Yarrowia lipolytica: one gene and its partners. The protein of the gene in region 2 purifies or fractionates together with the protein of the main gene of each other region. This does not show direct contact. Links are inferred from orthologs where the notes say so. Each region holds a gene or a part of one and is shown on either strand. Other genes may lie near its edges. The genes, in order: YALI1_C19500g, YALI1_C03582g, YALI1_E04790g and YALI1_C20180g.

The links.
Region 1: the proteins of YALI1_C03582g (region 2) and YALI1_C19500g purify together in Saccharomyces cerevisiae (affinity purification with mass spectrometry; 3 studies listed by BioGRID, with this or other methods). This does not show direct contact. The link is inferred for Yarrowia lipolytica from reciprocal best matches to the Saccharomyces cerevisiae genes SUA7 and HRP1.
Region 3: the proteins of YALI1_C03582g (region 2) and YALI1_E04790g purify together in Saccharomyces cerevisiae (affinity purification with mass spectrometry; 3 studies listed by BioGRID). This does not show direct contact. The link is inferred for Yarrowia lipolytica from reciprocal best matches to the Saccharomyces cerevisiae genes SUA7 and CFT1.
Region 4: the proteins of YALI1_C03582g (region 2) and YALI1_C20180g purify together in Saccharomyces cerevisiae (affinity purification with mass spectrometry; 3 studies listed by BioGRID, with this or other methods). This does not show direct contact. The link is inferred for Yarrowia lipolytica from reciprocal best matches to the Saccharomyces cerevisiae genes SUA7 and PCF11.

The regions. Positions count from the first base shown.
Region 1 is NC_090772.1:1,947,481-1,952,595, reverse strand, and holds YALI1_C19500g (uncharacterized protein), read left to right. Parts: upstream 1-1,729; coding exon 1,730-1,773; intron 1,774-2,576; coding exon 2,577-4,017; downstream 4,018-5,115. Other genes in the region: YALI1_C19510g (uncharacterized protein), read right to left, coding at 184-1,584. UniProt on the Saccharomyces cerevisiae protein: RNA-binding protein, which is involved in the polyadenylation-dependent pre-mRNA 3'-end formation and cooperates with the cleavage factor CFIA complex and the cleavage and polyadenylation factor (CPF) complex.
Region 2 is NC_090772.1:356,185-360,141, reverse strand, and holds YALI1_C03582g (uncharacterized protein), read left to right. Parts: upstream 1-1,908; coding exon 1,909-2,883; downstream 2,884-3,957. Other genes in the region: YALI1_C03596g (uncharacterized protein), read right to left, coding at 1-470; YALI1_C03550g (uncharacterized protein), read right to left, coding at 3,176-3,957. UniProt on the Saccharomyces cerevisiae protein: General factor that plays a major role in the activation of eukaryotic genes transcribed by RNA polymerase II.
Region 3 is NC_090774.1:474,317-481,317, forward strand, and holds YALI1_E04790g (uncharacterized protein), read right to left. Parts: upstream 4,743-7,001; coding exon 933-4,742; downstream 1-932. Other genes in the region: YALI1_E04744g (uncharacterized protein), read right to left, coding at 1-167; YALI1_E04795g (uncharacterized protein), read left to right, coding at 5,233-5,949; YALI1_E04807g (uncharacterized protein), read right to left, coding at 6,013-6,462. UniProt on the Saccharomyces cerevisiae protein: RNA-binding component of the cleavage and polyadenylation factor (CPF) complex, which plays a key role in polyadenylation-dependent pre-mRNA 3'-end formation and cooperates with cleavage factors including the CFIA complex and NAB4/CFIB.
Region 4 is NC_090772.1:2,015,490-2,020,539, reverse strand, and holds YALI1_C20180g (uncharacterized protein), read left to right. Parts: upstream 1-1,932; coding exon 1,933-2,091; intron 2,092-2,527; coding exon 2,528-3,994; downstream 3,995-5,050. Other genes in the region: YALI1_C20198g (uncharacterized protein), read right to left, coding at 617-674. UniProt on the Saccharomyces cerevisiae protein: Component of the cleavage factor IA (CFIA) complex, which is involved in the endonucleolytic cleavage during polyadenylation-dependent pre-mRNA 3'-end formation and cooperates with cleavage factor NAB4/CFIB and the cleavage and polyadenylation factor (CPF) complex.

The DNA of each region.
Region 1 (5,115 bases), about 1.6 Mb from region 2:
AAAACAAAATAAAACAAAATAAAACGAAATAAAACGAAAATAAAACAAAAAACATGGAAATAAAACCAATTACCAGTCCCAAAAGTCACCCATAACCATGCATTACCAAAATAACGAAAATAAAACCAATTTTCAGTCTCCAATAACCATGCATTACCATCTATATAGCTCATTCTCACACCTTTACTCATTCTTGAACCCCTTGAAGTACTTGACTCGAAAGTCCTCAGCCTTACCGCCTTCAGTCTTTCTCAACTCGCCCTTATCGCCCTCCTTTCGTCGCCTGTACACCAAACACCGTCGCGACCACTGGTTGAAGTCCTGCACACAGTTGCAGATGAGCTCTAGATCCTCATGGAGAGGAATCTCGGCGTCTGTGTAGTCCTGGTTGGCGGTGGGCATCCAGAAGGCGAGCCGGCCGTCTTCAACAAGTCGCTCAGCCGAGAAACTCAACAGAGCATCCATCATCTTTCCAAACTCAAACGGCTTCTTTGGAGGAATGTAATCTCGACGAGTATGCGCCAGCTGACCGTCCACCAGAGTCGTTTCCAGATGCTTCTTCTTCTCAACGTCCTCCTCTCGCACTCCCAGGACTTTGAGACCCTCCCGAACTCCGTAGGGAGGATCACAGACGATGGAATCGAACTTGAGACCCTTTCGGAACGAGTTGTTGGTGAAGTCGACCGCCAAAACGTCCAGAAGCCGGTTAACGGAGTTGTACTGTTTGAAGTTGGCAGGAATATCGCATCCTTTACCCTTGCCTCTGATCATGCGCACATCGATGTCCGAACCCACCGTGAGAGCTCCAAACGCTGCCGCAGCCACCAGAAACGATCCGGTGCCGGCAAAGGGATCGTACATGAGCCCGTTTCGCTTCACATGCGCCAAATTGCACGTCAAAAGAGACAATTCAGCGTCAAACGACGTCGTGCCGATATATTTGCGTTTCTTGAGATCAAAAGTGTCCATGGCACTCCGGTTGGAGTTGGCAATGTGTCGTCCAAAGAATATTCGCGCGGGAGCGGGTTCGGGGTTCTGCCCGATGACTCGGTAGTCCTCCAGAATGGTGAACACGTGGTCCGGCGACTTCATTTTGATCTTTCCCTTGAAATCCATGTATGAAAACCCCTCCACCATCTTGATAAACTCCTCCTTGGGTCGCGAAGATTGGTATCCAATGATTTCAAACTTGAACGAGTCGGTGGCATACTTGGGCCACAGTTGGCTGGTCTGGGTCTTGATCTGCTCGTGAAGCTCCTCCATGGACGCAGCTGGACCGCCCCAAAGCTCGTAGATGGACTTGGCAAGCACGGATCGTCGAATCAGCTTTTTGGCAGCCTCGTCGTTCTCCAGCTCCACAATCATGAACGGAGACGACTCGTCATGGGACGACAAGTCAACGGCGATATTTTCGAGCTGGGCCAGGGCGGTGAGTTCGGCCAGCCGAAACTGCATGTGCGTTTGCGACAGCAACAGCAGGTACTTCATTGCTTCTGTTTGTGTGGTGTTTTTTTTTTTTTTCAGATCAGTAGTCGCATTATCAAAATATTTTTTAGACTTTGACTTTTTTTTTAACATAATCATTTACAGGAATCGAACACACGACGTTTCGATATTTTCCCCAATTGGGGGAATGGGTTAGGGTAAAACAGAGTGCATAGTGACACCGCAGAGGGAGGTTTTCTCCTCTACCACACACACACACATACATAGCGACTAGATAGTTAACATGTCTGGACTCGACGACGACGACGATTTTCTCAACGATATTTAGTGAGTACTCCACGCGACCGGCGACGTGACACAGATAGGTATTTAGAGTATCTAGGTGGATATAGGGCTTTTGTTTTGTGTGGGGGTGGAGGGAGAGTTGCCAGAGATGTACTTGCACAATCTAGATGTATGGTATTAGTGGTCGGAAGGGTGGTTGGAAGGATGGTTGGAGGGGTGGGTTGACCAGGGAGAGTTCCGATTCCTGAGGTGTTAAAGCAGTCAAAGGGAGATCAGTTGCAACGGTCAGACTGAAGACCCATTTCGGAACTGATCACCATCGACTTGTGCCGAGTTTGCATAGCCCAGCTTCCCTGTCCCCATTGGGCCCATAACGACTCTTCTGTACTCACTTTTACTGCTCCACGGCTGTCACCCAGTACCCAAGGGTAAGTTAGATACAAGACCCAACTGCTGTTGAGCAGACAGACTGTTCCGGCGGTTGCTGGAGTAGCGAGACACGAACCGATGAAAACATTTGACTATCTCCACTAGCCAGCATTCTACCCCTAGCTTATCCTGCACATACTTGAGATCTGCCCCAGCTGTGTTCTGAGCAGTCATTCCACGCACTGGAATGCAATCATAAATCTTCTCCAAGTTCCTCGTTAGACGCCATCTTCCTTTAGATGTCCATTTTTCAGACCACATTCGTCCCCTTCTCCGCACCATATACCTCTCCTCTCACACTCCAGACCAACATCCTTGACATATTTGAGCTCGTGACTACAAAATCATCGTCTCTAGGAGTTGTACGAGTACCAACTAGGAGTTCCCACGGCCTTCTGCTACCAATACTAACCCAGCGCCGAGGATAAACCTGCCAAGGTTGAGCCCAAGGCGGAGGACAACATCCCCACGCCGGTAGCTCCCGCTGCGGCCACCCCCGCCGCTCCCACTGCTGATCCTCGATTGGCTGCTGCTCCCTCAGCTCCTGCTGCCGCTGCCATTCCCACTGCACCCGCCGCCGCAGCTGCCCCTGCTGCCGCCGCTCCTGTGGCTCCTGCGGCTCCCTCTATCCCCGCCGAGATGGCTGCGGCAGTCGCAGCAGCCATGCCCGGACCCAACGGCGATCTTGTTTACCGGTCGGATGGAAATGCCGCTCTGGGAAACATTGTCATCCCTCCCAAGGACGAGGGTAAGATGTTCATTGGAGGTCTCAACTGGGAAACCACCGACGAGTCGCTGACCAACTACTTTGCGCAGTTTGGCGAGGTGCTGGAATGCACTGTCATGCGCGATCACTTTTCCGGCAAGTCTCGTGGATTCGGATTTCTCACCTTCAGAGACCCCAAGTGTGTGAACGCAGTCATGGCCAAGGAGCACTACCTTGACGGAAAGATCATCGATCCCAAGCGAGCTATCCCTCGAGAAGAGCAGGACAAGACCAGTAAGATTTTCGTGGGCGGAGTGGGCTCCGATGTCACCGAAGAGGACTACAAGCAGTTCTTTGAGCAGTACGGCACCGTCATTGACGCTCAGCTCATGATTGACAAGGACTCTGGCCGGCCTCGGGGATTCGGGTTCGTCACGTTCGACTCCGAGCAGGCCATGAACACCATTCTGGCCCAGCCCCTGCTGATTCTCAAGGACAAGCCCATTGAGGTCAAGCGAGCCGAGAACCGGTCCAAGGGTGCCGGCGCTTCCGCAGTGGCCAATGCAGTTGCGGGACCTTCCCATGGAGGCGGCAACCACAACTACAACAACAATCACAGCCACGGAGGTACTGCAGATGCCGCCGCCGCTCCTGCCCAGAACTCCTACGGTGGCATGACCCCCCAGGCCATGACCCAATGGTGGCAGCAGTACATGCAATACATGCAGCAGGTACAGCAGATGCAGGGAGGCGCTGCGGCCGACCCCGAAGCCCAGCAAGCCATGATGGCCCAGATGATGGCCCAGATGCAGCAGCAGCAGCAGCCTCAGGGCCAAAGCCATCAGCAGAGAGACAACCACCACCAGCAGTCGAGAGAGCGGGACCACCACAACGATGAGTCGAGTGACGACAATGAGATGCGGCGAGTCGATCGTGGCCGAGACGACCGTTCTGGCCGACGGGGCCGGGGTTACAACCAGTCTGACCGACGATCTCGGTCTCCCGGAGTGCCCACTGGCCCTCGAGACGGCCGACAGAGAGGGCGACGGCATGGAGGAGGTCGAGGACGAGATCGACGAGACGGCGGACGAGCCCCAGGTTACCATCCTTACGGAGGGAGCCGAGATCGACAGCAGGGTCGAAGAGATTAATATGGTTGGAGGGTGGGGCGATGGAATGAAACGCTACCATCGCTACGAGCTGACTTTGCCGGTACCGGCCCGTATGAGTTTCACATGCTAGGAATGGCGACTCAGAATAGTTAAATAAATGTTATGAATTGATGTATAGGAGAGTTGGAGTTAAACGTCTGCCAGGGGATACCAGAGTTGAGAAACATGTATCATCGAGACATGGAGGTGGCTTGATAGACTCCATCCAGCTCTGAGAGACTTCAGGGACCTTCAGAGTCTCTCGACATGTGAACAGCCCGTGACATACTGTATTGCAAGAACGAGGAGAGGAGGAGAATGGATTCTAAACGAGTCATGGGAGAGTTCCATTCAATGTCTCTCAGGATTGTCACAGTATTATCACTAATGGTAACTATTGCCCAGACTTAGCCATCGGACTTCTTGCCGCCCCACTTACCATCTTGCCATACGACTTACCATCGACCTGAGTAGTGAATTGTCTGTAATACAGCATCTATATCGCCATATGTATCAATGACTGCGACCTATGAGTGCATTGTATAAGTTATCCATCGAGAAATCCTCAAATTGGGCTTCCCATTCACCCTATCCCCGTTCAGTCAGAGGGCACGTTTTGAGGATAGTATCGGAACTTGAATTTGGACTCCAGACGATATTAAGAAAGCAGAAACAGTTCTGAAACGTTTTACTTCTCCATCTACCCATCATGTGCCACTACGGGAATTGTTGAACGACTTGAAATGAATACCATCGATGGGAGCTGGTGAGAGGAACTTTAGTTGGGAAGTTACTTAGAATTTGTTAGATAAAAATTGTGCTAGGGGTCGCAAAAGTAGGAACCAAAGAGTTGATTACAAATCTGATTAAATATACAGATTTAAAAGTCATACATTACCTACTAAAATTCTAGCTAAACAAATATCGGCTGTGTTTCTGTTGTGCTAAATCAAATCTCATATTTTGTTCCAAGTATTTTCAGTTGACTTAATTCTTTAGTTTTGTCGATTACTAGTTGGGACAGGATATGTACAGACCGTGCTTTAAATATCAGTGCTAGTTCACCAGACCCATAGATGTTGAACTTCATGTACATTT
Region 2 (3,957 bases):
GTAGTAAGAACCAACGGTCTGTCCTTAGCTCCAGAGTAAGCAGCCACTCGTAGAATTCCAATGGCTCCAATGGCATCCAATCTATCCGCATCTTGGACCACATGTAACTCCACACATTCGTCGTGCCACTGGCCCCATTCACCGGTCTTTCGCAGCTTTTTTTCGGTCGAATAGCTCATGTTGGTGGCAATCTTGAGCACCAGATCTTGCTGCTCTGGCGATAGACCCGAGTCCGAAAGACAACTCATCATGATACTCTGTCCGTCGCTCAATTGGGTCTGGTACTTGTGGTCGTTGACGTCGTGCAACAGAGCTGCGACCTCGACAACCTGGAGATCGACCGTCTGGCTCTGGGCTACTTTGCGACCCAGGACTTTGGCCAACCGAACAACTCGATCCACGTGATTCATGTCATGAGACGGATCGAACTGCGCCATATGTATGGCAACTCGTGAATGGATGGTAGACATGGGAGACGGGAGAATTGATGCACTAAAGAAGGATGGCAAAGTCGCACAGTCGTGTCACGGCTTTACGCGCTCGCTAGTCTCGATTTAGTGTGGATAGTGCTGTGTGGTTTGTCAGCATCATGTCAGGTTCATTTGGCGTTGGGAGATTGGTGCTTAAATTAAGTAAAAAGGTGAAAAATTGGCGGGGAAAAAATGAAAAATACTGAAAACACTGAAAATACTGAAAATACTGAAAATACTGAAAATACTGAAAATGTAGAAAATACTGAAAATACTGAAAATACTGAAAATACTGAAAATACTGAAAATACTGAAAATGTAGAAAATACTGAAAATACATAAAATATAGAAAAATGCAGAAGAAAAAAAAAACCTGTACTTTCAGCGTGATGGGGGGATAGAAGAGAATTTAAAACATGTACTACTTGTAGTAGAGGAATGGGAGAGATATTCTACATTGTAATATCTATAGTGGAAGTGAGGATACCTTCTGACTTGTTTTTAACGAGTCTTGTATCTAGTCTCCATGGAACAGTGAGTGATACTGGAGATAGTTTTCACATCAACAACTGGAGATCAAAGAACCAATATGGGTTTCTGAATCATCTAGATACTTATCCTGCCGTTTAATATGGCATTCATGCTATCAAATCGGCTGTAGAAGTTTCGCAGATGGATATCTCTACTCTTGGGTACAGTGTACTCTGTTTGGACTGTGGAGTGTTCCTCAGTAAAGATACTCAACTTAGTTGGACTCCACTTGACATTATACTTCACGCCCGTTCCATCCATGACATTCCATGAAGTTCCACCATACTCCCATACTGGTACATTTACTGGAGATCAGTACCACTGAGGACCCTATTTATACCCCCACAATCCCCGTCGACACTCCCCCTTCCCCATTGTGTCTTCCACAATCCCCATACACCTGGACCTCCATATTTCTCCGTGTCCCGGTGGCGAGCATAAAGTAAGCTTTTTCAGGCCCATGATCTCCAACTGCACCACAGTGCCAGACCCAGCAACAGCACCATCAGTGTCGAGTAACGGTACGAGGAGACACAAAGTGGAACACCCCCTGGCGACCAGAGACACAAGCAGAGCCATACAGATCGGGACAGACAGACAGAGGCAGCTGTGACACGAACGAAAAATAGACCAAACGATTGGAATAACGAAAAGCAGAACACCAACCAAGAAAAGCAGAGATAACCAAGTCCTTCCCACTGAAAAAGAAAAAGAAAAAGAAAGAAAAAGAAAAACAACCCGGCCGGCCTATCGCTTCCACTTTGCATCACCATCACCGATCATCTACCACCTACTGATTGACCACCAGCATCATCTTCCTTCATACACAGCCTAACACCTCGACCGAGAAACAGGCAGATACCCTTGCATTAAAACAACACCCTCCATTTTACATCCATCTCACGAAATGTCCTTCCAACAAAACCTCAACGTGACACTCATGTGTCCCGAGTGCAAAATCCTGCCACCAGACATTGTGGAACGGTTCGCGGAGGGAGACATGGTCTGTGGCCAGTGTGGTCTGGTCCTCTCTGACCGAGTGGTTGATACCCGGTCTGAATGGAGAACCTTCTCCAACGACGACCAGGGCTCCGACGACCCCTCGCGAGTGGGAGACGCCATGAACCCTCTGCTGGAGGGCTCCCAGCTCAACACGATAATCTCGTTTGGAGCTCCGGGCTCGTCGGTCGGCAGAGACCTCAACCGAACCCAGTCGCGGTCTCTGCAGGACAAGAAGGACGCGGCTCTGTCAGCCGTGTATGCCAAGATTTCCCAGATCTGCGACGGTATTTCGCTACCCCGAGTGGTGTCCGACGCCGCCAAGGAGGTCTACAAGCTGGTTCATGACGACAAGCGACTGCGGGGAAAAACCCCCGACGCCATCATCGCCACCGTCATTTTCATCGCTTGTAGACACGCCAACGTGCAGCGAACCTTCCAGGAAATCGGAGCTCTGACCAACGTGTCCAAGAAGGAGATTCGACGAACTCTAGAGCTCATGAAACGGCTGCTCGAGGGAACCAATATCCAGGCGTTCCGATCCACCCAGACCAACCCCGGTGCTCTTATGCCCCGATACTGTTCCCATCTGGGACTCAATTCACAGGTGGCCAACCTGGCAGAAGACATTGTCAAGCGAGCCAAGGAAATCGGTACTCTGGACGGCCGTTCGCCCATTTCAGTTGCTGCCGCAGCTATTTACATGGCAGCTGCACTATATGGAAATGACATGAGTGCACAGAGAGTCAGTGAGAAGACGGGAGTGAGTGACGGAACTATCAAGACGTCGTATAAGCATTTGTATGAGGCGAGGGAGAAGCTGGTGAGTAAGCAGTTGCTGGATTCGGGCAAGGTTTCTTTTGAGACGTTGCCCAAGGTGTAGAACACTCATGAACGAAACCAGTGTGTGTTCTACGACGGACTAGGAGGTTGTGAGCTAGCCTCACGTAGGTATTCCGGCGAAGCGGCTTTCCTAGACCGGCATCCGAGAGTGCTTGCTCACAGTCGTGGGTATTATCTTGTCCGTAATACAGCCACGTCCAAGACTTAGAGAGTGGAGTTACATGAAAACATAGAAAACGAATTGGAATTGTATTATTTTGATGAGCTGTGGAGTTGTACCGCATTTAAACACCTGATCATTTCATTACACGTTATCATATACTTGTTCGTAGTTAGACCTTTGTCTCGACGACATTGTCTTTCTGGCAGGACTTTTCAGAACCGAGGTCTTGGTTCTCATCATCGTTTCTCTCGGTCTCTTTCTTGTTGGTATTTCCAAAGACAACACCCTTGACTCTCTCTTCCATCTGACTAAGATCGACATTAGGAAGAGTGACGGCAAAGAGGATCAGAGCTCCTCCAACAATGACTGGGCCGTAGAGCAGGTGTCTGTAGACGTTGTTGAAAGCTGCAATGATGGCGGTTCTCTCCTCAGAGCCCCAGGCGTACTTCAATGGAGCATTGACATTGTTGACCATGGTGTCAATGTCTTTTTCCGAAAGGAACGGAGCGTAGTCTGCCAGTCTTTTGGGATACTGTTGTCTGTACATGGAGCCTGAAATGGCGTCTCCAATGACTCCTCCTACAGAGATTGAGGAGTAGAAGATGGCAGTCGCTGCTACCACCTGTTTGTGGGATACCACGGCCTGAATGAGAACCAGCACCGGATACTGGATCATTCCTGTTCCCAGTCCTTCAATGACTTGCGCAATGATGAATTGGGCCAGCGAGTTGTCCGGTTGTCGGTATCTGTAGGTGAGCCCCAGACCCAGCATGTACAGACACCCTCCCAGAATGATTGTTGGTTTCAGTCGGTAGGTGTATCTGATGAGAGGGGCGACTAGGAGCGAACCAAAGGTGGAAGCCACGGTCCAGGTGACTCGGGTGTTTGTAGCAGCGGTGACAGACAGGTTCTTGCACACCAGCAGCCAGGCCGTGTAGTAGGGAGCGTAGA
Region 3 (7,001 bases), on a different chromosome or scaffold from region 2:
GCCTGTGTCATGACCTTAGCAGGGTCATGTGTGATGCCAGCGGAGAAGATGAACCGCAGGTACACCAGCAAAAGCGTACCGTAGACAACTGCTAGAACCTGAGAAGGTCCACTGGGAACGTGAGCCGGGCCATTGGCCTTGGTCTTGGCAGCTTTCCGAGTAGCCATGTCGAAGATGGTTTCTGGTTAAGAAGTTTTGATTTGGTGACGAAGGTTATGCAGGTTGCGTACATATGCACTCATCGAACTGTATGGCGGGGGGTGGCATCGACACCTGATGACGTAACAAGGCGCGTTTTTCGATACGAAAGCGAAGCGTGGATTTCTTTCTAACGCGGTTGGCTCCTTTCGTGAATCAATCTTAGTCTGCTTCTATTAACAACGGGATATAGAAATACCCAGTACATTGGAATTTCCAGCCAACTTGGTAGTTAGCTTATCGCAGATTTTCAATCAGCTTGATCATATACAGTATACGTATTGGATAGCTTTGACGGGGAATAGGGATAAGGTCTGTTTGTATGGAATGCGTTTTTCACAGTATGTACTATACAGTAGCCTCCTATCTGTTTGCCTTACGTTCTAATGTTCTCTTTCCCGGGGGTACCCAGCGAAGTATAGATCTGGAGGGCGATGCTCTGTTCCACCAGATCGGCAACTCGGCAGTGTAAAGCCACGTTGGGGAAGTACTGTAGCATGTTCTACGTTGTTGGGTATGCTTATGACCAACAGTCTACATACGGTCCATGGTGCCCGCTGGTATATCTCTACAACTGAAAAGAGTGGGGTGTTCTGTTCTCACTTAGGATGGTGCTATTTGTCGACAGCTGCTTAGCCTGGCAACTGGTATGTACTGTAGCTACAATACTGTAACTACAACTTATCTAAAAATACACTAATATTAAAATATACATTATTGTGTCATTGACAGACTCAAATACATTTCTTGAACAGGTCAGAGATGAGCTCAAGGTCCTTCCAGATCAACTGCTGATATCGCTGACCCAGACGGTTAGCATACACGTTCTGCTTGTTTCGGGGCAGGTTAGCAAATCGAATCAAGGTGTGGCCATCAAGAATAGGTCTGTGGGGACTGTTTCCAGTGCCAGGCAAGATGGGATCGTACCTGTAGGCTCTAGGATGTAACCCACAGACGTGGGCTTCCTTGTCGGTGATCTGAGTCTGGATGGCATAGAGACGTCTGTAGGCATCTTCAGGGCAAGGGACGACGTCAGTCACTGATCCATCACTGCACACACCAATCACCATGAATCGATCCTCGTTTATGGGTACCATGGCCGAGGAATCGATCACCTTTCCAGAGTAGAATACAGAACGTCTCAGGAGACGGGCTCCAGAGTACGACTGAGGGTCATCGGGGTCGTACTCGAGGATGTGCAGTCGTTTCTGGAGATCAGCCACAACAAATGTCAGGTTCTCACCCTCGATAGCAAAGTCACAGGTGGTAACCAACACCCTCTGCAGGTCACGGGCGAACGGGATCATCTGGTACGGGTCCATGGAGAACCCGACAAACTGGACAGATCGGGTGGCATCACCGAGCAGAAGCATGGAGTTCAGACTCTTGGCAACGGCCACGTAAGTCTGCATATCGAGGAAAGCAACAGGAACGAGGGTAAGGTCATCCTGAAGAGCCTGTACAAGCAGCTTCTGGCCCTGGACAGCTAGAAGACGACCAGATACCTCGCAGACAGCAGTGAAGGCCCCACGGACACGGTCCTGAACCAGCTTCTTGAGTCGTCTATTGGTCTCGGGTCGTTCCTTCTCAGGAACAATCTCAATGACATCAAAGAGGTACAGAGCACCTCGAGCAGCGAGATCCTCACCTCTAAGAATGGAGGTTCCGACAGCCACCACCTCCCGCTTTTGTGACTTTCTATCAGAGATGGACAACTTGACAGACTCGCAACAGAGGGCCGCTTCAGCGGGCATCTCGAACTCATAGGAGTCAATGACAGTCCACGAATAAGGGTTGACGATGCGAATGGCACCCTGATAGGTAGTGGCAGGCATGATGTCTGGTGTAAGACTCTCGATCACCTCGTCGTCTTCATCACGGACAACATGGGGAACTGTCTTGTGAGTAGCAATGACATAAACGTCCATGGTCTCGTGATATGTGACTTTGGAAATGGTCTCTCCGCAGAGCTGGACATGCTTCACGGGCCAATTGGTCTCGAGAGAAAAGCTAGGGTCGAATCTGCACTCGGCCACCTCTCCCGCTTGCGTCAAGTAAGCAAATTTTCCGTCCCAGGAAGTGAAAGCAACTGCGCCCTTAGTCTCACCGAACTCGATTAGTCGCGGAGAAGTATGCAAAGTCTTGACTAAGATGTACGCGGTTTCACCAGTCACTCCAAGTGTGTGTTTTCCGTTAATAAGAGGGACTTGGGTAAGTCGTCTATCGGAGTTGATTGTAGGGGTTCGCTCAAGGAAGATCTTTCGGAACCTCAGCTTGTCATTGTAGTGATAAGGCTCATAAACGACAAGCTGCTGAGGAGTGAGGAGAACCAGGTAGTCCCGAAGAATATGATCGTCTCCAAGGGGACTCAATGCGATGTCCACAAGTTCAAGAGGGGCATCATAGAGCTGACCGTCCTTCTCTTTGATGAAGCCAGACAGATCAGAAGCATCTAGAATGAGACGATCGTCGGAATTCAGACCTTGGAGCAGAAGAGACCCATCCGCGTAGCACACAACAACAACAGGTCGCGAGTCTTGAGCGGGAGATCCCTGGCGTGTACGTTTCTTGCTTGGTGCACCGAAAGTAAGGGAGGAGTCAGTGGCGTAGATACCGATGGCCTTGGACTCACTGGCAGGCTCGATAGAGACCTGCGCAGCCTTCAAGAATGGTCTCTTGTTGATGCTCACGGCCTCCAATATCTTCACCTGGCCATCAGACAGCAACACAAGCACGTAGTTGCCCAGTACACGAGCCTCCACGGCTGTAGTACCTTGGGGCAGGGAGTATTTGTGGGGCTGTCCGATCTTGGCGTCGTAAATGTTGACAGTTTCCAAACAGACCTGGAGGAGCGCCGAATCCAGCATTGAAGAAGAAAAGATTGTGGTGACATTCGAAACAAAATGCTTCTTGGTCTTCTTCTTCTTGGTACTGAGAGAAACGTCTTCAATAACCCCAGCGGCATCAACATAGTACAGATATGAGTTCTCACTGTCAGACGAGACAACATAAGTTCGAGATTTGGCAACCTCCCCTTCCTCCTCAAAACGCACGGGTACTGACCAGAACTGGCCTCCCGGCATGTCCTTATACAAGGACTTGCGTTTGTATGGCATCAGTGCGCTTGTGAGAATGGCCAGAGCAGAGTTTGCACCGACACCTGTAGTAGTGACAAACTCAACACCTTGACTGCCTCTATTCTTGCCCAAAGCCAGCGATTGCATGGGTCCCATACCAAGCATGCGGTCGGCCAGACGTAGCTTCAATGGACGATTGGTAGTGTCCTCTGTTTGAGCTGTGTCACCGCCATAAAGATCATCGTCAGACTCGTTTCCGTCATCTAGAGTCTCCTCGGGCTGACTTTCTGGCTCACCATGGTACCACTTGACTAAGAGCGAATCTCCAGCTCGAGATCCAAGGAAAATAGTTCCATCAGGCCCAGCTGCAACAGAGGAAGGCTGGGATAGGATGAAGTTGTCTGGCTCAATAGGTCGCAGTTCGAGACTAGCCACACGTCTACCATCCTTGTTGAACAGCAGACTGAAAAACTGGCCATCTTCTGTCACCAAGAGGGCGGTATTGCCCAACTCCTGGATGAAGCAGACCTCAGCACCTTCCAGTCGCAGGTCAAGAGTCGACTGGTCCCTCGATACGATGAGATCAGAGTTTTGTCGATGTGTGTTGTTGACCATGACACCTGTGTAACTAGCCGAGGAGTCGATGTAGAGAATGGTGTTGGCGCAGATGATAAGTGAGCCACCAAGAGGAGCAGGCAGAGGAATGACCTTCTGGGCATCCACTGGCAGGCCATTCAAGGTACCAATTACGGTGGAGTTCTTCTGATGGACGTCGACACTGACGATAGCGTAGCTCACCGTGTCCTTGAGAATATTCTTCATACCCACCCATGCTCTCTTGGGCTGAAAAAGGATACCCATTGTCGTTTCTCGGTACTCGTGAAGGAAGCAGATATCCATCACGTTCTCGATACGTTTATCGAGCCTCGATGCCTTAACAATGAAGGAGGGATCAAATACCTGGCCACTTTCTGGCATCTCATCGTCATCAAGACCCTTCTCGATAATAGGCAGAAACGCCATTCGATCATTCTGGAACAGCAGACAGGTGTAGAACGAGTTCGCCTCATCTGATACAGCAACAGACGAGCACTCGGGCTCGAAGAAGTTGCTCTCGACCAAGCCTTTTTCGTAGTAATGCAGCGATTTGGTGTCGATGGTGAAACTGCTAGCATTCCATGCAACAATCACGGCCTTGGCATGCTTGACAGAGATGTAGAGCGAATCCAAATCGTAGTTGTCGATTGTCTTTATTCGGGTCACGCCCGTGACGGTTCCATCGAGGTAGTATTCGGTGATGAGCTCGAGTCGAGGAGCTTCATCCTTGGTAGGGATGTCGTCCTTGTATCGGAAGATCTGGAGCAGCTGCGAGCCCTTGACTAGCACCAGGTTCCTCTCGCCGGTGAAGTTGCACGACAGACTGTGAGTGACGGCGGTCGGCTCTGTCAGATTCTTGAAAATGTGCATGTCGTGCTACTGTGAGACAGTATATCCTGTAGTTCCAGATCGTGATGATTTCTTGGACTTTCAGAACCTTAAGTTTGGGAGTTCGGACGGGATGGTTGAAAGAGGTGTGACGAATATTGAGGGGATGTGTGATGTAAGGGCAATAGTTTTGAAACGAAAAGGCATTTAAGAGAACTTCTGGATATTGAGTCGTGACTGGATGAGCCCTGTGTCCAGATGTTCCTTACGAATCGCACAGTGTTACTTACATTAGTTGAAATATGGAGCGGGTGGGTCGGGCAGTATTACGGCTACCGAGGTGGAGTGGGCCTATTTGACAGAACAGTATTTACTAAAGTCACTTGTTTTAGTGCAAGCTACCAAGCCGGGTATCCATCTCTACTGTGGCCCAGCATCACACCTATCGCCTCTTAATTACAAGCACTTTCCAACATGCATAACGAGGTAAATACTTGCAAGTTCAACATCAACCGCCACACTTTGCTAGATCATGCAACTCCCACCCGAACTGATTACACTAGTGGCGACTTTTCTCGACTTCAAGGACCTGTCTCGATTAACATGTGTCAACAAACACCTCTATGAACTGCTGGCAACTGACATCTGGAAAGACGTCTACTACTCTGCAGGCTACGTTCCCCCTCTACTAACATGTGCGCCCCTGATCCAGCATGTTCATTTCGACTCAGCAGTCACAACGATGTTCTTCAACCGAAAAAACTTCCCAGCAATCAAACAATTTTCTGTATCGTACTACGAGGATATAACTCCGTGGATAGGGTTGCCTGTGGGCACTGTGTTTCGCAACTGGAGGCGGGATCTGTATCAGCAGTTCTACCCCCAGCTAGCCGAGTATCTCAAGGCCCACGAAGTTACTCTTGCCAGCCTTTTGCTCTACGACCAGTCCTTTCTCTACTACTTCATTGAGGCAGACAGTTGTCACAAAATCGAGAGGTTACGATTCGACACCAACTTCACCGACACAGTTCTGTACCATGACAAGGTGTACCCTCCGATATTGCGACTAGCAATTGTTGAGAAGTTCATTCGCGCTGTAGAAGCTGCAGGGTGCAGACCTCCCTTTGATCGTGATCAAGGCAGCTTGTCATTTTGGAACCAGATTGAGGACATTGAGAGAGGTCCTGATGGTCCCATCATGCCACCGCTTCCAGCTGATTTTGGAGACTTGTCTGGTGAACGGACTTAATCGAGATCTACTGACCAATCGAATCGTTGTCGTGCATTGTCATTATATAAAGATGGTGAAGATTTACTCGTCTTTCACGACAGGCTTGGGAATGGGCTTTCGAAGGACATTTCCGACCTCGTTGAGCACATAGCTGGCCAGGAAAAGAACAGGGATGTGCAGAGGATTTCCAGCAGCCCATGTAAACTTGGTGCCTCCAAGGTTGAGCTGACCATAGACCACTGCCAGGAAGGCTACTCGCAGAACGGTCCAGGGAAGTCGACCAATGTAAGACGAGTTGGCGGGGGACCCGGGAGTGAACTGACACTGGTACTGGTTGCCAATTGAGATGAACAGAGATGCAACTGTGGCAGCAAGCCAAGTCTTGTTAGAAGTAGGCACCCGGGTACACATGAGATACGAGGCGTAAGCAGAGGCCAAAGTGCCCAGGCCGCCGACAATGGAGAACTGGACACCCTCGTCACCCTGGACGTTGAGGGTAGTTTCGTTGAGGTGATTGAGGATGAAGGACATGGTGTGCTAATCGATAGAAGATGAGATGAGCACAGTTGGAGATGATGTTTGAAGTCCTTTAGAGTTGTATCGTAGTCCAATTTCTGCATGTGAATATGCACCCCACAGAGACGTTTGAGTGCGAGTGCTGTAACGATTGGGACCTTTTGAGTATGGAGCTTTACTTCATTGGGGCGATGAGAAAGTCGCCTGTATGTCTCCCTGTTATATTTGAGCTTCCGTGTGTTTTTTCAAGTAAAATAATCGTCGCTATCATTAGCTACAAGCATCTCTTTCGGATGCTTGTAATAGGCGTTATAGACGTCGGGGTTTTGAAGGCAAGAATCTCAGTTGCCTTATAGCTGGTCATTCAGCTCAGCCATAGCCAGTTTAGTTAGAGGGAGAACCCAACAGCTACATTACTGTTCGCACTTGTCTCTATGACCCCTGATACATCATCTAAAAGAGCCATGTGCTTGAACATCCTTTCTTGTATGGATTTACTCGCAAGGCCCCCACGATGTATGTACCGTTCGTAAATTGTGAATAATATTTGACTC
Region 4 (5,050 bases), about 1.7 Mb from region 2:
ATGAGAACGTATGGGGTGAAGAGTGTAGCGATGGAAGAATGGTGTTTGAAACCGGTCAATCAGTTGATCTGGACCCCTGAATGATCCGGTAGGAGCTCCACGGGTGAATTCACACTCTTCCGGGCCAGTCTACTTCCTATCAAACTTGCTTATTAACGCTCTAGTTGATTGGTTCCCTGAACCCAGCCGTACGACAATACGATCAACGTAATCAGGGTCACTGAGAGGTGCGGTCGCTGGGCAGAGTGCAACCTCGTCAAAGTGTCTTGAAATCAACCACGGGAACCCCACAAGCGCCACCACCTTTTCCCATATATCACCCAACACAAGAGCGCACACGGCTGAAGAGACACAAGGGCGTGTTTCCAGAAGCAAGGAACAGAAACATATCATCGCCGGCCGCTGATAAAAAGACGGGGTGTGTTTGGCGCCCTGGTTCTGTTATTTTTCAATCCCTCCTCGCGACCTTTTTGTGGTCATATTCACATGCCACATGGGTCTGCGGTGGTGCCATGGTGACCGAAAAAAGGCCGACACCGGCGCGCATCCCAAGCGACCGGCTGAGAGCCCGTCGTTTTCAGGGGTCCAGGCGCCCACACCCACATTCAATACTCACCAGAACCGAGAACTCGGGCAGCACCAGACTGCTTCTTATCGGACGAAATAGGAGCCATTTGTTGGACGGTAGCGATGGAGACTGGAGAAGTGCAAAAGGTGTGGAGGGAAAGCAGACACTGATATACAGTTTGGGTTTTTCACCAAGACAAAAATTCCAAAGTGAGTCAGGATGCAGCTCCGAAGTTTCTCCAGAGGGGCAGCGATTGGGAACCAACAGCCAAAGTATCAGCGCTCAAACCAGGGTGTGTCTTGTGTGCGCAGGGGGAGGGGAGGGAGTCACGTGGCCCACCGTCCCCGGATTGCTCGGGATAGGCCACAAACGCCTCCGTGACGGCGCTCGACGGACCTGTTGTGCTGCTCACCAACTGCGATGCTGGTCATACTGGCCCTGTCTATCACCCGACAATTACCGTGCGAGATCCGAAAGTTTCCGACGCTCGGCCAAAACGCGGACCCCCGCCTAATTATCCGGATAGCGCCCAACCGCGCAAAGATAGCAGAGGCGCGTGTGCCATGGGCGCTGCAAGGGCTGTTGTGGTGGCTTTTGCCGCCTCCTGGTTGGCCAGTTTCGGCAACTAAAATCTGATAACGTTGGTTAAAGTTTCAACTACAATAGTTGCTCAACGTGAGAAAGGTGGAGAAGCCAACGGTCGGGGTTTTCCGCGCCAACAAGGGCCAATTTCGGAGAAATGCGGTGATAAAGCGGGTCTTTTTGTGAGCGACAATTGATTGTGGACATTACGGGCTCGCGGCCATCGCATATCCCATCCATAATTCCGCCTCGTGCTACCTCGGCTCATTTCCGGAGAGCTAATCTCCACGAACTTTAATGGTCTACGTCAGAATCGAACGTACGATAACACTTGTAGTTGGTAAAAATTAAAAATAAATAAAATAAAAAATAAAAATAAAATAAAAATAAAAATAAAAAGAGCAGGAATCGAACTGGAGAGAGAGCAAAACTTGAAAAAATAAAATTAAAAAATTAAAAAAAATTAAAAAAAATTAAAAAAAAATGCCACCAGACAAGAGCCATACACTAAAAGTTGGAGGACAAGTACAAACAGCACGTACAGTACATTGTAGATATATAAAGGGTTAGGGGAGAAGTGGAAATGGGAGCGCAAGTTTGATGGATGGCTTTTTTCTTTTGTTCCTGCAATTCGCCGTTCAATTCGCACCGTGGTTGATAAGTCAGCACTCTTGCAACTTTGCTGGTCACATGACTAAATATTAAAGTTTTTTCAGGCCGTGCATCCATCTGCAAGACTCTTTCCTCCTCGTAGTATCAACGTCAGCGACACTATATATGTAATGTCCGAGCTGGATGAGATTCGAGAGGACTACCTGTACGCTCTGGAGGAGCTGACGGGGGTCCAGAAGCCCATCATCACCAACCTCACGGTGATTGCCGAGGAAAACAGACACGCTGCCAAGGCCATTACCCGAGCCATTGAGGAGCGAATAAGTAAGGTGAGTAGCGGAGGAACCACAATGAGGAGATGCCGACGACAAGGACGAGATCAAAGGACACAGAGCGACCTGAAAACACCGGTGCCGGCCACACGGTACGCCGACTCTTGCTCTATCCCAGTGACGGTGTTTAATAAGGCGTATGGTGTCATGTTGGTGATCATGTGCTGCGACTGTGGTTATGGGTGGCGTTAACATGAAGCTTGGGACAGGTTGACGATTGATTTTGCAACGTGGCACATGTATACAACCTCTGATCCATCGATTGGCTTGGTCCAACTCGTGTGATGGAGTTTGTATCTCCAGGCTGTCGTTATGTCTTCGAGACAACGATGTGATTAGTGACTGACGAGAGATCATACTGCGAATGACGACACATCAATAATCTTTTCCATATGCCACCGCCGCCTATATCTATCTCTACATACTAACCCAGTGCGCTCCAGAGTACAAGCTGCCAGCAATGTACCTGCTCGACTCCATCTGCAAGAACGTAGGAGCACCATACACAACCTGCTTCGGTATCAACTTGTACCGCACTTTTGCCGACACATACACCCAAGTTCCCGAATCGATCCGACGAAAACTGATCGAGCTGTACGGCACCTGGAAAACGTCGGCCACAGGCGGCATGCTGTTCCCAGCAGAACCCATGCGAAAGATTGCCTCTTTTCTGGAACGAATCAACGAAGTCACATCACGGGCCACGCCAAACCCCGCAACCCCCAACCTGGGCACCCCCAACCCCGCTACTCCACCTCTAGGCACTCCAGTTCTCGGCCAAGGAGGTTTCGGAGTGCCCAATGCGGGCCTGACACAACCCCAGCTGCTGGAGAAGTGCAGCCACGTGATCGACATGACTTCTGACCGTCTACAACATATTCCAGGCGACGTCGATGCCAAGGAACGGATTCCTGTCCTCAAACAGCTACAGGCCGTTCTTCAGTCCCAGGCCATTCCTGTGTCGTACCTGTCCAATATTGAGGCTCAATTGGCCTCTTCTCTAGCCCATGAGGAGAAGAAGCTTGCTGAATACGAAGAAAACGAGCGACTAAAGCAGCAGCAGCAGCAGCAGCAGCAGCAACAGCAGCAGACGACACCAAGCAACTTGCTAGCTTCCCTACAAGCCGCTGGCTTGTTAGCAGGAGGTATACCTGGTGGAATGCCTGGAATGCCTGGTATGCCTGGAATGCCTGGAATGCCGGCTATGCCTGGTATGCCTGTTCCACCCATGCCTATGCCTGGTATGCCTTTTCCCATGTTTCCTAACCTTGGTACTGTTCCTGCACCGGACATTAACTCTCTGTTGGCCTCTGGTGCCTCTTCTTTGCTGTCTTCCTTGGAGTCTAACGACGTGGAACTTTCTACGTCTTCTCTGCTGAAGCCTCGCCCCAATCTGGTATTCAACCTTTACGGCAAGATGCCCAAGGTGTGCAACATTTGTGGGCGGCGGTTCCGAGATAATCAGGACCATGCCCGTATGCAGCACATGGACTGGCATTTCCGAATCAATAAGAAGATGCGCCAGGACGAGGGACGAGCTCAGAACAGACGGTGGTACCTGGCCGAGCATTTGTGGGTGGCAGGAGAGCAAAAGGAGGAAAAAGAAGAAAAGGTGCAAAAGGTGGACATGGAAAGTGTCAAGAAACAATGGGTTCTGGCTCCCAGCAGTGCTTCTAAGAAGAAGCAGGTTTGTCCCATTTGCACAGGAGGCTTCAACACGGAACTCAGTGATGAAGCTGAGGACTGGGTGTGGACAGACGCGGTTCAGGTTGGAGATAAGATCTTCCATGCCACATGTTATGCTGAGAGTGGAAAGCTGGCAGAGAGCCTGGTGAGAAAGAGGAGAGGAGAAGATAGAGAAGGAAGGACAAAGAGGGAGAAGGTGGAGCTCGACTACTAATCCGAGCAACATCTCTCACCCTCCCTGATCAGGCCCTGGCTGCAGAAGAACCGCCAGCGCCATCAACAGAAACAGAAACAGAAACAGTCAGAAGATCCAGACCTTTTCTGACACACAATCGCATTCTTTGATACTAGATATTAAATAATAAAACGTGCGGGTATCTATCCGTATGATAACAAATGAAGTGGCACTAGTGTACAAGTACAAGTAGGTCAACAAGTAGATACAGCCAACTGGCCAGATAATCCTGTACATTTCGAGTAAGACGGACAACAAGGACGAAGCCCATGGCGTTCCGGAAGCCTGTTGAGATTTCTGAGCAAGCCACTGGTCCTGTTTGCGACAATTACAAATCAATAAACAAGTAATTGTACTTGTAGCCATTGGTCATCTAGATAATCAGACAATGACTGTTCTCTCTCTTTTCAGACTTTTCTTTCTTGGGTCTAGTGGAACTGAAAAATCGTGGAGGAGACTAAATCTGAGCTCTTTATATCGCTAGGGTGTCCGTTGATGGTTGCTAAGGGAGTTAATTACAGCATCTCCGTTGACTTGCATCTGTCTTTCTCTTTCTCGAGGCAGACTGCTATGTTCTCTGTTTCTCGGAGTTGGAAATGACGATTCTGACGGGCTCGTTTCCTGTCATGTCATCCTCGGACTGAGTCTAGACAAGTTCTGGAATGTAGTTTATAGCGAAAGAACAACTACTTGTACCATATTTCGACAGATAATTCCGTCTAATGGTGTTTTGCATCCAGCGTCACATTTGACATCTTGCACTATTGGCAATCTACGATCGAAATGCGCCACCTGCCACCTTGGCGGCTACCGCAGTCCGAAGAATACACTTTTGACAAGAGGAAAAAACAAATTCACCGAGACCCATTGACCGCGTCTCAACGTCCCCTCAACGTCTGAGAATTTTTCAAGGTCTCGAAATCGTAACCTTCCCGGAAGCTCGGATCAAGTGAAGCTAGAACACAAGTACCTCCAGGAACTGGTAGCAGCCTCAGCAGCGTAGTATTGATCGAGACTGGACCCATAGCTACCGGC